Schizosaccharomyces pombe: one gene and its partner. Changing the gene in region 1 together with any one later gene gives a genetic interaction. Each region holds a gene or a part of one and is shown on either strand. Other genes may lie near its edges.

Region 1 (8,388 bases):
GAAAAATATTCAGTTTCTTATTTTTGGGTATTTTCTATCAGAAATAACTTTAGTTGGTTTGTTTGAGCTTGCTCGCAACTTTTTAACTTACTGATACATAAAAGAACGGCATATGTTGACCAGTGAGGAACCGTATATTTATTCACGTTAATAATTATGGGAAAACCTTTAATTGCACTTGGATTAGAGGGTTCAGCAAACAAATTAGGCGTTGGTATTATTTTGCATGATACCAATGGATCGGCTAAAATATTAGCAAATGTCAGACACACTTATATCACTCCTCCCGGACAGGGATTCTTGCCCAGCGATACTGCTAAGCATCATCGTGCGTGGATAATCCCTTTAATTAAGCAAGCGTTTGCTGAGGCAAAAATTTCTTTTAAAGATATTGATTGCATTTGTTTCACAAAGGGGCCAGGAATCGGTGCTCCTCTGAATAGTGTAGCTCTTTGTGCTAGGATGTTATCACTAATTCACAAGAAACCTTTAGTAGCAGTTAATCATTGTATTGGTCACATTGAAATGGGTCGTGAAATTACGGGTGCACAAAATCCTGTCGTGCTTTATGTTTCTGGGGGAAACACTCAAGTAATTGCATACTCAGAGAAGAAGTATAGGATTTTTGGTGAAACGCTTGATATTGCTATAGGCAATTGTTTGGATCGATTTGCCAGAATCATTGGTTTGTCCAATGCACCTTCACCTGGTTACAATATTATGCAAGAAGCAAAAAAGTAAGACTCACTTTGATGTTTTATACTAATTTTTTCCTAGAGGCAAAAGATTTATAGAGTTACCCTATACTGTTAAAGGTATGGATTGTTCATTTTCCGGATTGTTGTCAGGGGTTGAAGCGGCAGCTACAGAGCTATTAGACCCAAAAAATCCGAGTTCTGTTACAAAGCAAGATCTTTGTTACTCTTTACAGGAAACTGGCTTTGCAATGCTAGTTGAAATTACAGAACGCGCGATGGCACATATCAGAGCTGATTCTGTTTTAATTGTTGGAGGTGTTGGATGCAATGAACGTCTCCAACAAATGATGGCTGAAATGAGTTCGGATAGAGGCGCTGATGTTTTTTCTACAGATGAACGTTTCTGTATTGATAATGGTATAATGATAGCCCAAGCAGGGTTGTTGGCTTATAAAACCGGGGACCGATGTGCCGTCGCAGAATCGACGATTACTCAAAGATATCGTACTGACGATGTTTATATATCATGGAGGGATTAATACTTATATTCATGAACAAGGATCAGATGAATTTTATTTTAGGCATTTATATATACATTCTTCATTATGAAGATCGTATCCAGTAAAATATTGAGTTTTTTGAAGTAGATTATCAAAATTCCAGTTGAGGTAAAATAGCTTTTTCACATAAATTGTCACTATTAAAAAACCTTTGGTTCTTTCTAATAATAACTTTAGCATTATTTGTCGTTGCAACCTGAGAACAATCCTTAATTGGAGAGCTATTCTCGTCAAATTTCGTTGCTATATCATTCTCATTTAACGTGAAAATCCATTTGTTTTTTTCTAATAATTTCAATAAATGAGAAACTATATTTGAAGACGAAAGAGTAGATAACGAGCCAAACATAATACATTTCACTTTCGCCCTGCTTAAAGCAACGTTCAAACGATGCCAATCGCGTAGCAATTCTCCAACCTAAATAAATGGTTAGCAGTTGTGTAAATAATTGGTTCAATACTCACTAAGTTTTTACTGTTGGATCTCACAAAAGATATTAAAATGATGTCCTTGTCTCTTCCTTGATAACGATCGACAGTGTTAATTTCTATTTCAGTGAATGATTTAAGATTCTTAGAAAGCAACTCCACCTGACTTTTGTAAATTGAAATTATCCCGATAGAACTTTGCTTAACGCCTCGTTCCAAGAAGGAGGAAACTGCTTGTTCTATCAAAAAAGCTTCAGTATGATTTTCTAGAATATTATTAGTTTTTGATTCAACTCCCAGAATATCATCGGTATTAAAAAATATGACTGAATGACTAGGATTGATTAACTTGTTGACCCAATGTAGGCTAGACGACGAATCGGGTAAACCATCACTTAGATGAGCTTTTGGCAAAATTAATTTTTTTTGGGATATCGTCTTGGACCCACACACCAAATTGCCGCCATAAATAAGTTCACTAGATAATGAATTAATGTCTTCATTCATACGATATTGTAGTCTTAAAGTGGTAACGGCTTCAGGATGCTTTTCTGATAGTAATTTAAATAGACTGAGCGACAAACCATCCTTAGATGTTCTTGAATTTTTTACTAAAGGAGGAAGTTGATAATGATCACCAACTAAAACAAATTTTTCAGCAAGCTGCAAAGGGCCTAAGCAAATTGGTAGAGGTATTTGGGATGCCTCATCAATTATACAATAATCGAATTTTCTTTTATTGAAAATGGAACTAATGTTGTTAGTAGTTTGTTCATTGCCGTCGCTTTCAATTACTTACTGATATACCCCTAGAGAAGAGCATGCAACTATTTGGGGGTCTTCGTAAAAATGTTTTAATGACGCTAAGTCGTCAAACGTCGTTCCTTCAGTCAAACAAAATTCTTTTACTAGGGGATGGATTTTATGAGGAGATCCTAAGCGGACGATTGTGCTATCACAACCCTTCAGTTTAATTAAAATGTTATCAACTGCTAAATGCGTAAAAGAAGTAAGAAGTATTTTCTTCTTTTTGGCAAGCAATGATCTGATTAAGCTAGAAATTGTAGTGGTTTTCCCCGTTCCAGGCATTCCGAGTATCAAACTATAATGTTCTGCAGCGTGGCATTTCTTTAAAGCTGTAATTTGATCTTCGTTTAAACATTTCAAAAATTCAGGATCGATTAATGCACTATTACAAAATTTTGGAGGCTTCAAACGGATAATCATGTCCCTTATAATTAAGGGAGCATCTGGTAATACAGAAGACATCAAGGTACCTCTTATTGATGCAATTCCGCTCGAAAATTCGTCCTTATCAATTCTGTACCTCGTATGGTTACTTCCGATAAATGACAATTTGGAATCTTCATAGTTACCAAAAAATACCTGGTTTTTTTTGAAATCAAAGTTAGGCATCTTTAGCCATGGAATATGAAGTCGATGACGAGTTCGTACTTCAATACATGAATCTTGAATATGGACTATGTGTCCTTTAGCTAGTGACCAGTGTCCATGTTCATCAGAAATAAATACTCGTTCACCAACGCTGAAGCCTGAGTGCAAGAAATTTCGAGGATAACCATTGTCATTTAAAAAAGCGAATTTGTAATGAAAAACCCTGTCATCAATTTCTAAACAAACGATATCCTCTTTAGTAATGTATAAAGGATACAGAGTTTTTCCATAAGCTTCTAGCTCTTCTGTATCAAAAGTCAACACATCGCCTCTTTTTAGTAGTAAGAGTCGTTCCTCTTGATTTAATAACTTCTCCCACTTCTTATAAAATTCAAGATCCTCATCTTTTACTTCGCGCATCCATTCATTCCATGACTCAGTCAAGCCGTTACTATTAGCTACTCCTTTATCACTCATCTTTTGAAAGAACAAACATTCAGAAACTAAACTGCAGTGATCGCAAATTTTTCGGTTCGAAATCATTTCAGGAAGGCTGCGCCTAAAGTTATGCTGTGCAAGAGAATTTCTTGTCATGATCAACCCTCGAAGTTGGGAGTTACTTGCAACCAAATTCTTGATAGTACTATTTTCCAAATAGCATAATAATGCCTGATTAGTATTGATACCATAACGATCTGAAATGAGTAATGTATAAAGCAAACTTTGAGCAAAATGGCTAATATTGTCGACATATCGGCCAGTTTTAAGCTCTAACGGAAGTGTGAGGGTTGACGAAGACTCAGGTTTTTCAGTTAAAACCACCTCAACTGTAGCATCGATATTACCTTTTAATCCAAATCTGGGTGACCATATGGATTCCTCAATATCGAGAAGCCTTGAAATGTGAATACTTTCATTGTTGTTGTCATTTTTTTTACTTATTAAATATCTTTCAACAATAGATTTAAGAAGGGGAAGCCTCGCATCAAGTTCCTCTCGAATTTCATCGAGCGACAAATCAGCAAAATAGATATCAGAGATGTATGTTTTTATTGATGTTTCAAGGTTGATATCAACATTTTCAAGGGCATCAATACCTCTGTATAATGCGTGTTGAAAAAAATCATGTAAAATGTTTCCAGTTACCATAGCTTTTGTAGGAGGTCCATAAATGCCAACCCTGTCAGATATTACGGCTTTCCTCAAACAAGGAAAAGAGCTGGCCACTGCCGTAGCAGACATTAAAATTTTCGGATGTATGATAATAAGTCCTTTATCGTTGTCAACGATAGCGGTATTATCTTTGTCAAATGTAGCTTCAACACGGATAGAATCCCCTACAAAAATACTAGTCTCAGTCCAATCACCGCGTAAAAATAACTGATGCAGTATATCATTTGCTTCCAAAATCAACTTTAATTGTCGAAAGTGATTCCCTTCATGAAAAATGAAGTCTTCGTGAACTTCTAATACTGTGTATTCGGAGGAAAACTCGCACAATTCACCAGGAGTGCATCCATCACACGAATCATCCCAATCATCGATAAAGTCGCTATTGATATCCGGCAATGAATTACAAGCTTTATCAAGAGCAAGGTTCACAGGTTCTTCATTTATTGTAGCATCAGATGCTTTTGTTGCTGAACAATAAGATTGCAAATCACCTCCCACATGGTTGACCTTAGCTGTCTTTTCTATGTCCTTTGCAGAAGCAGTTACTGTAGAATTAGGTAATTGTGAGTATTGGCGTTCAAGGGAATCTAATGCTGCCAGATCTTCAGCTTCTAAGGCAAAATCATCCTCGTCAATTTCGGTATCTGATCCTTTGAGAAGACAACTGGAATTTGCAGCAATTCTTGATTGCTCAGATGATCTTGCATTACGAATTATAGACACCAAGCTAGGGACTTTATGCAGGTTATTTCCTTGGTTTTTTACTTCATCATACGATCCGAAGCTTCTACTCTGGTTTTCCGAAACATTTGAACTCGACAAATTATTGTTTATCAGTGGCTTATTATCTGAAGCACATCGTCGTAATAGGACAGTTTCATCCGTATATAATGTAAACACATCAGATTTTGAGTTCGTTGACACTGGTTTCATATCTATAATCGTTGAGTCCGTCGTTTGATGATCCAGCAAATGTTGAGTAGAAGAGCTACGACACAAATCCTTCGAAGTTTCTTGAAAACATACTTCTAAAAGTTAAAATACACGTCTGAATACAAGAAAAATCATACCTGGCATGTCTTGGCTATTCAAGTCAGATTTCCGCGTGAAAGATTTGTCAGGCTTTAAATCGTCAGTAATTTCTTTATGAGCTTTAGTAAATGGGGAAAAAGATGTTGAGGATTCATTAAAAGTATTCTTTCGTTTAATTGGTAATGAAGAATGCTTTTTTTCAGAGATTTTAGGTGAACTAATTTCTGTAGATGCATTGTACGCAAAATTTTCCAGCTTCAATTTAGTTCTCCCATTTAGCAAATAGTTTTTCCTGAAAGGAGTTGAATTAGTTTTTTTTAAATTACCATGATTGTTGTCAGTAGTGGCACATATACCTTTCACAGATGAAGTTGTTTTCGACTGGTCGTTGAACATTATTAATTTACAAAAAAAGGAAGGCAATAAACATTAAAAAATAAAAAAGTTTGTTATAATTATACTCAAATAACCAGGCTAAAATTCAACCAGGTAATGAGCTTTGAAAAGAACGACTAAAACACGTGAAAAAGAATGATGATCAACGATGTAAATGCAAAGAAAAAATAAATAGAAATAAATTAAAATAAAGCCTTAACGACTGCGCTTATTCTCAAAATAATAGGCAATGCTCGTAAAATAGATATTTGGAGTATGGTTGTCGGAGGTTTCAGTTTTATAGATACTCGGTTCCCTAACGCCAACAATGCTAGTTAATTTATTTCCTTAGGTTTTCCGCAGTCATGTTCTCGATTGATTTTAAATAAAATTACACATGAATATGTGCCAGTAATCTTTACAATGAACCTTGTGAAGTCGTTCACAGGTAAATTGAACTAAAACCAAGTCCGATGAAAGCAAAATTATTGATTTTCCTTAATACATAATTAATAAATATTATCTGTATCGAAATTCGCTTCAACTCTTCTTAAGTATAAGCTTATTAACTGAATGACCGTTTGCATACAAAAGCGCAAACTGCGATTTAATTATAAAATAAAATTCCTTCTTAATTTTTTTAAAATTTATTTTTAAAATAGAAATGCATGTGTAAGCAAAAATTAATATAAATTTTTTAGGTTCGTTTGTTTGTTTACATTCCAAAAAGTTGACTTATTGGTTATTGTACTCTTCTCGTATTTAGAAGCAACCATCATTTGAATCGGGAAAAATCTTGATAAATTCATATATAATAGCATTAACGATCGCATTAATTTTAATAAAACTATTTTGAACAGGGCAGCTTCTTCACGTCAATTGAGGAAATACCATAAACGATGCGAAATAAGAATATTCTCGTCTTGAATTTGATATTAAGTATACCAAGGTTGGTCTTTACTGCTAAATATGATGAAAGAGAATCTTTATGGAATTTAAACCAAAATCAATCAGCTACCGATCCTCTAGATTATTGGGGAAAATGGGAAAACCATCAATACCATCCCAGTCCAGATGATTGGCAAGTGCCATTTTACACAGTTATTTTGGATAAATGGAAAGATGGTGATCCTAGAAATAATGAAGCTAACAATACTATTTATGAGTATGATATTTATGAAACTGGTTTTCGAAACGGAGGGGATATAATAGGCCTGAAAGACTCACTAGATTATTTGGAGATTATGGGAATAAAGGTAAGATAGAGTTATGCTTTTATGCTCGTTAACGAATAAGGTTATCTACATCGCCGGTACACCATTTTTAAATCAGCCATGGGGTGCTGATCAGTACTCACCACTGGACTACACCATCCTCGATCACCATTCTGGAACAATTGCACAATGGCGTGACACGATAGAAGAAATCCATCGTAGAGGGTTTTATTTAGTTCTGGACCTTACAATTTCTACGTTGGGAGATCTTATAGGGTTTCGGAAGTATCTGAACAGTACTACTCCATTTTCTTTATTTGAACATGAGGCGGTGTGGAAAAGCAACGTCATTTATCCAGACTGGAATTTCACAAATAAATATGACCCAAAGTGTGAGCTTCCCAGATTTTGGGGTGAAGATGGCGCGCCTGTTGTGATTGATTATGTTGGTTGTTATGATTCAGATTTCGATCAGTATGGCGATACAGAAGCCTTTGGTACTCATCCTGATTGGGAACGTCAGCTTTCAAAGTTTGCTTCTGTCCAAGATAGACTTAGAGAATGGAGGCCATCGGTTTCAGAAAAGTTAAAACACTTCGCATGTATGATCATTGCCATGTTAGATGTGGATGGTTTTCGTATTGATAAAGCTACTCAAATTACAGTTGATTTTCTTGCTTCATGGGCTCATTCTGTGAGGGGGTGTGCAGCAACGTTTAATAAAAAGAATTTTTTTATACCTGGTGAAGTAACTGGTTCTTCAAGTTATGGCTCAATTTATTACGGTCGTGGTCGTCAACCAGATCAACGTCCTCCGTCGATACTTACTTCACTTAATTCATCATCCCTTAAAGAAAACTACTTTCTGAGGGAACCTAAAGCGAATGCCCTAGATGCTTCTGCTTTTCACTATTCACTCTACCGTGCCATGACCAGATTTCTGCAAATGGACGGAGATCTGCAAGTTGGTCATGATCTTCCCGTAGATTTTACAGATTTGTGGAATGCTATGGCAGTTAATGAAGACTTTTATAATCCTAACACTCATAAAGTTGACCCGCGTCACATGCTAGGGATTACTAACCATGATGTTTTTAGATGGTCAGCAATTGAATTTGGATTAGAACGTTTGCTATTAGGAACCATGATAACGTACTTTCTTTTTCCAGGAGCACCCTCCATTTATTATGGTGATGAACAAGGATTCTATGTACTGGATAATACAGCAAACAATTATCTTTACGGTCGCCAAGCGATGCCTTCATCTATAGCATGGAAAGTTCATGGTTGTTATGCACTGGCATCTGATCAGTATCCAGAACTTCCTGTCATAAAGGCATATCAAGGGTGTAATGATGATTGGAATATAATGGACCACTTTGATTTTGCTAAACCCGAATTAAAAATGTTCAAGATATTCAACTTTATTAGGGAACAATACCCGGCCTTAAAATCTGGATGGAAATCAGTTAAACTAAGAAATTGGACTGAATATGTACATTTTCCTAATAG
Region 2 (5,438 bases), 2.5 Mb from region 1:
TTGCTTTTTCAAGGATATTATTCTGCGAGACTTTACCACCATCAGAAAACGAGTCGGGGGTCACGTTCAAAATTCCCATTGTTAAGGCGCCATTAATGATTTTTTTGTTGTCAAAAGATGAGTACAATCTTATTCCTTGTGAAGGCAATTTATCAAGAGCTTCTTGTAAGGGCTGATGGGTATAAGGGTGTACTAAGTCTGGGCTCAAGGCCAGCAATGGACGTAAAACAAACTCACGTTCTTGCAGCCCTAAATGGGGAATAGTCAAAACTTCTGATTCATAAACACAATCTTCGTACAAGACAATATCGAGATCTATACACCTTGGTCCTTTTAAAATTGTTTTGATTCGACCCATTTCTTGTTCAATGGATTGACAAGCTCTTAAAAGATTGATAGGCGACATTCTGGTTTCAATTTTGCAAACACCGTTCAAAAAAGAAGGTTGGTCTTTATAATACATCGGCTCTGTTTCGTACAAAGGGGAAACATCCAACACACGAATACCCTCTATTTTATGCAACATAGATAATGCTGTTTGGATTTGCTCAAATTTGTCACCAATATTTGAACCAAAAGACAAATAAGCAATTTTGTTCTTAGTGGATTCGTATTTATGCAGAGACTCTTGTAAAAAGTACGACCGTGTTCGATAAATTTGCACCGCAGAAGCATTGGCGAATGTGATAGCACTAGGTTTCTCAGCTTTAATGCTTATATCGTCTAGATTCTTTGTAAAACAAAGATACTTTGAAAGATTGACAACCAAAGCTTCTATAGTCAGGAAAGCAGATTGTTCGACATATTCGGCGATTGCGCGCGCGATCTCTAAAGCTTCGACCTCCGTATTTGCAAATGATATATTTAAGCAAACTCTTTGCTTCTCTTGTCGTTCAAATGCGTGAATTCCTAATATCGTAGCTAACTCCAAATCCGAGAATTCAATACGATCTACAAAGTTACTGGTAGAATTGCGTTCGCGCTCAGCATAATAGTGCAATCCATTTTTAGACCTTAAAACACATTTGGGTAAAGTAAGCTTAATAGAAACATGCGAGGTATCAATAACGTCTTCAAAACATAAACTTGCAATTTTATTGACCAAATCTTTAGGGGTTGTAAAAAAAGACCCTTCAATTTCTTTTCGTAATAGCTTAGAAGCTATACCGTAATGAATCGTTGATTTTAACTCGTCTTTTTCTCCAGCTAACTGAACATTGTTTCTCATATATACATCAATTTGCACTGGCTGAGGTTCCTTTCTTTTCCATTGGTCTTGACCCACTACAGCAAATGTGTTAAGATTTTCAACTACGACAGTGTCATGTATCAAGTCCATTTGTCTAGTAGGATGTCGTAGAGATGAGAAGCGGAGTTGTCTGGGGATAGTGCTGACTATTCTAGGTATTTTGGCAAAACCATGGAGAGAATTATTTCTAATGAATGGATAGATTCCCCAAAGGTTTACTAAACTTTTCATGAGAGTTTAAAGAATTGATTATCTATATTGGAAGTATTTGCTGAAGCGACCAACACCATGATAAGTAAGAATAAGCAATACCTACGGTATCCTGATGTCAATTATCTAAAATGAAGGCATATGGGATAAAGAATTGTAGCATTATTTGACTGTTATTAAATTTAATTCATTATTGAATACAGCTGGGAATATGTATATACTCTGATCATTTCTATGGAGCATAGAGCGATACTGAGAAATAATATTATAAGAGATTTGTCAGATGACTACATTAATGTGCTACAAATCATTATACCCGAAAATAGAAATAAGGGAGAATCAAGTTTGATTAAATATAAAACATTCCAACAACTTTGTGAAACTCAACCTTACGCTATCAGCTTAAAAGCAGAAGGAAATTAGTAGAGAAAAAAAATCAAATTGCCATGTTCAAAATTAATAAAATTTGAAAAACATTCTACTAAAAAATGCCGTAAATTACTAAATCAATTTCTGTCAGCGTTGATGAAGTAACTTCCCATTCAATTTTAAATCTTTCATTAGCATACTTCTATGAACTGGATAGCAGCAGTAATTGAACATGCGATGTCAATATTTAGATTTTAAATATTTTACATATTGTAAATGTAGTTAAGCATGTATACTCCATTAATGAAAATGTAATCTTTCATACATATTTCGTCTGCGCTGGCTTCAGTACTTAGCCTACCTTAGGATTGTTCCCACTAATTTTCAATTTCGTTGATTTTACACACTGCTTCTTATTCTCGTAAATACCACTTTCCTAAGGAATACTTAGCGGAAAAAGAAATTTCTAAAAAAATGGAGGAATGGAGAAACTTCTTAGATATTAAAGTTATCAATGAATCTTCACTTGTAAGATATGAAATTTCAACAAGAATTTGAATGTCTAACTGTATAAAAGGTAACTGTAGATAATTTAAGTCTGCAATTGGATATATCCAGTGAAAAAGCACAAGAGTAAGGAACAATACGCATTATTTTTTATTTTTATTATTAATAATTCATACTTTCAGATATCTTAATATGTTTTATCAAGGCAACGATTTTTTGTATCCTATATACCTTATTCATGGACAACCTATAGATGATGAAATTAATTTGGAAATTGACGAGGAATCTCAACCTATATCTAATTTTCCTGTTTTGCAATACATTTTGTGTGATAAGTCTTCTCTACAAGGTTTGTTATTGTCAATTCCGATCATTCGATAGCAGATTCGCTAACTATTTGTAGAGAAACAAAGTAGATTGAAAAGTGGGTATAAAACTGTTATATTTGCTCTTTCATCTGCTCCATTAAGTGTAAGTATTCGATAAGCTGTATTTTATATTGTTACAAACTAATTGATTTAATTAAGGATTTTGACGAATTATTACCTGCAGTATATGAAATAAGAGAGAAAGATGTTTTATACAAAAAAGAAGATGCTGATAAGTATGGATTTATTTTCAATGAAAATTCCGTGGTAAGTAATTTATATCACAACAATCGTTGTTTGACATTCGATCCTTCCGTCTTCGGAAGACTAACTTATTGTAGCCTCGTGTTTTGAAAAAGGCACCTTCAACTCATTCCCCCCAATTATCTGTTCCCTCAAAGACATCGACAATCGATAAGACTGACACACGTAGTACAGAAAAGACTAAAGGGAAAGATATTTTCAGTAATGCAAGGAACCAAAAGGGAAACTCATCTCGTAAAAATAAAAAAGCTCCTCTTGAAAATCATAAAGAAAAGGAGCCTCTCTTGCCAAAGGAGGAGAAGTTGTCTGAGCAAGCAAAGAGAGAGCGCGATGATCTGAAAAATATTATGCAGCTAGAAGATGAATCAGTATCTACCACTAGCGTTCACGATTCTGAAGATGATAATTTAGATTCTAATAATTTCCAATTGGAAATTGGTACCGAAGCAAAATCTGCTGCACCTGACGAACCTCAGGAAATTATCAAATCCGTATCCGGTGGAAAGAGACGTGGGAAAAGAAAAGTTAAAAAGTACGCGACAACGAAAGATGAAGAAGGATTCTTGGTTACTAAGGAAGAAGAAGTCTGGGAATCATTTTCTGAAGATGAAAACATCTCAACTGGTACTTCAAATGTTGTTAGAAACAAACCGACTACTGTAAACATTGCAACTAAGAAGAAGAATACTGCACAAAGTAAACCACAACAAAAGTCTATTATGTCCTTTTTTGGAAAGAAATAAGTTACTATTCATTTTCGATAGTATTAAAACATGTGTTCACGAAGTCCCTTCAATTCTCATGCAAGCTATTATCAGGAGTTTTATTCATATAGAAAAACTGTTAATGTTAGTACAACCTTTAATCCTAATCTACTGTTTTTAGTTTTGTTTACACTATTCACAACCAACTATGTAAGTCTAAGAGAAGTCGAAATCAATTATCAATACATCTTTTAATTTTAAATATCATAAATAAATATGTTTCCTCAAAGCATAGAAGAATCGATTCTTTTTTTTATTAGAAGTATTAAATACTCCATACATTAATGAACCACAATGCGTTAATGTGCGTTAACTACAACACATAATTTGAAAGTTGAACTTCATATTTAGTCAAAGCCTTGTATATTGGAAGTAGTCATGGGCAAAAAGCAGACGAAGCCTATTAATGCTAAATCAAGGAGTGAAAGCAACGTAGTTGCGGATCCTAGATTTCAATCAGTTCACTCTGATCCTAGATTTTCTAGACTTAAACGTGGCAATTTTAAAGTAAAAGTTGATGAGCGGTTTAAATCTCTCAAGGAGGATAAGGACTTTAAAACTACTGCCAGTGTTGATCGATATGGCCGTCCTCTCAACCAAGATAAGGCTACTAAAGAGATTGATAGACTGTATGAACTGGAAAATGAAGGGTCGTCCAGTTCGTCTGAATCATCGGAAATTACTGACAACGAAGAAGTCGCTTCAGCGTCTTCGAAATCCACAAAATCGGAAGAATTAACCGATGAGGAGTCCGAAGATGAGGAAGTATATGATCCAGCTCGTGGTGAGGGAATTATTAGTACTTCGGAAAGTAGCGATGAAAGCGACGCTGAAAGTGAAACTGAAGCTCAACCGGAGATATCCGAATTAGCTGGAATCGAGCCAGAAGAGAATATTCCTCGTGGTTCAGAAACTAACCGTCTTGCTGTAGTAAACATGGATTGGGATAATCTTCAAGCAGTTGATCTTTTTGTTGCTCTTTCTTCTTTTTGTCCTCCTGGTGGGAAGTTACTGAAAGTGTCGATTTATCCCAGTGAATTTGGAAAATCCAGAATGGCTGCGGAACATGTTCAGGGTCCTCCACGTGATATATTTACTCCAGCTGACAATCAACCTTCTAGCGCCGAATTGCATGAGGCTCAAAAATTTGGTTTTGATAACAATGAGTCTGATCAAGATGAGGAAGATGCTTTAATAGAGGAGGATTTAGGCAACGAGTTTGATATGGTAAAATTACGCCAGTATCAATTAGAAAGGCTTCGTTACTATTACGCAGTAGTGGAATGTGATAGTGTAAGAACGGCAAAGGTTATATACGAAACTTGTGATGGCGCTGAGTATGAAACTAGCGCTAATATTTACGATTTAAGATTCATTCCAGATGATGTTACATTTGACGACGATGAATCTCGCGAAGTATGTACTAAAGCGCCCGAAAAATATGAGCCGAGAGATTTTGTCACCGATGCATTGCAACATTCAAAAGTTAAACTTTCGTGGGATGCTGAGGATCCACACAGAAAGGATTTAATTAAAAAGGCTTTTACTTCTCAGGATATTGAAGATTTAGACTTTAGCGCTTACATTGCCTCAAGTGAATCTGAAGATGAGGATGTAGATGTTATTCGTTCTCGTTACCAAAAGTTATTAAGTGGTGATGCTGATGACTTCCAAGCGAATAGTAACCCTTTTGAGGATGATGACAAA

The links. A genetic interaction does not mean that the proteins touch.
Region 2: of dna2 (region 1) and cdc27, a mutation in one rescues a mutant of the other (synthetic rescue), as found in Schizosaccharomyces pombe (2 studies listed by BioGRID, with this or other methods).

What each region holds. Positions count from the first base shown.
Region 1 is NC_003423.3:3,591,010-3,599,397, forward strand, and holds dna2 (DNA replication endonuclease-helicase Dna2), read right to left. Parts: upstream 5,948-8,388; 5' UTR 5,684-5,947; coding exon 5,326-5,683; exon of another isoform or gene 5,281-5,325; coding exon 2,487-5,280; intron 2,439-2,486; coding exon 1,724-2,438; exon of another isoform or gene 1,702-1,723; intron 1,677-1,701; coding exon 1,350-1,676; 3' UTR 1,282-1,349; downstream 1-1,281. Other genes in the region: kae1 (EKC/KEOPS complex N(6)-L-threonylcarbamoyladenine synthase subunit), read left to right, coding at 157-737, 778-1,237; cell wall alpha-1,3-glucan synthase Mok13, read left to right, coding at 6,562-6,918, 6,959-8,388. UniProt on the Schizosaccharomyces pombe protein: Key enzyme involved in DNA replication and DNA repair.
Region 2 is NC_003423.3:1,060,242-1,065,679, reverse strand, and holds cdc27 (DNA polymerase delta subunit Cdc27), read left to right. Parts: upstream 1-2,255; 5' UTR 2,256-2,302; coding exon 2,303-2,356; intron 2,357-2,405; coding exon 2,406-2,461; intron 2,462-2,517; coding exon 2,518-2,684; exon of another isoform or gene 2,685-2,738; coding exon 2,739-2,806; exon of another isoform or gene 2,807-2,862; coding exon 2,863-2,970; exon of another isoform or gene 2,971-3,044; coding exon 3,045-3,710; 3' UTR 3,711-3,962; downstream 3,963-5,438. Other genes in the region: fol1 (dihydropteroate synthase), read right to left, coding at 1-1,480; pre-rRNA processing protein Esf1, read left to right, coding at 4,110-5,438.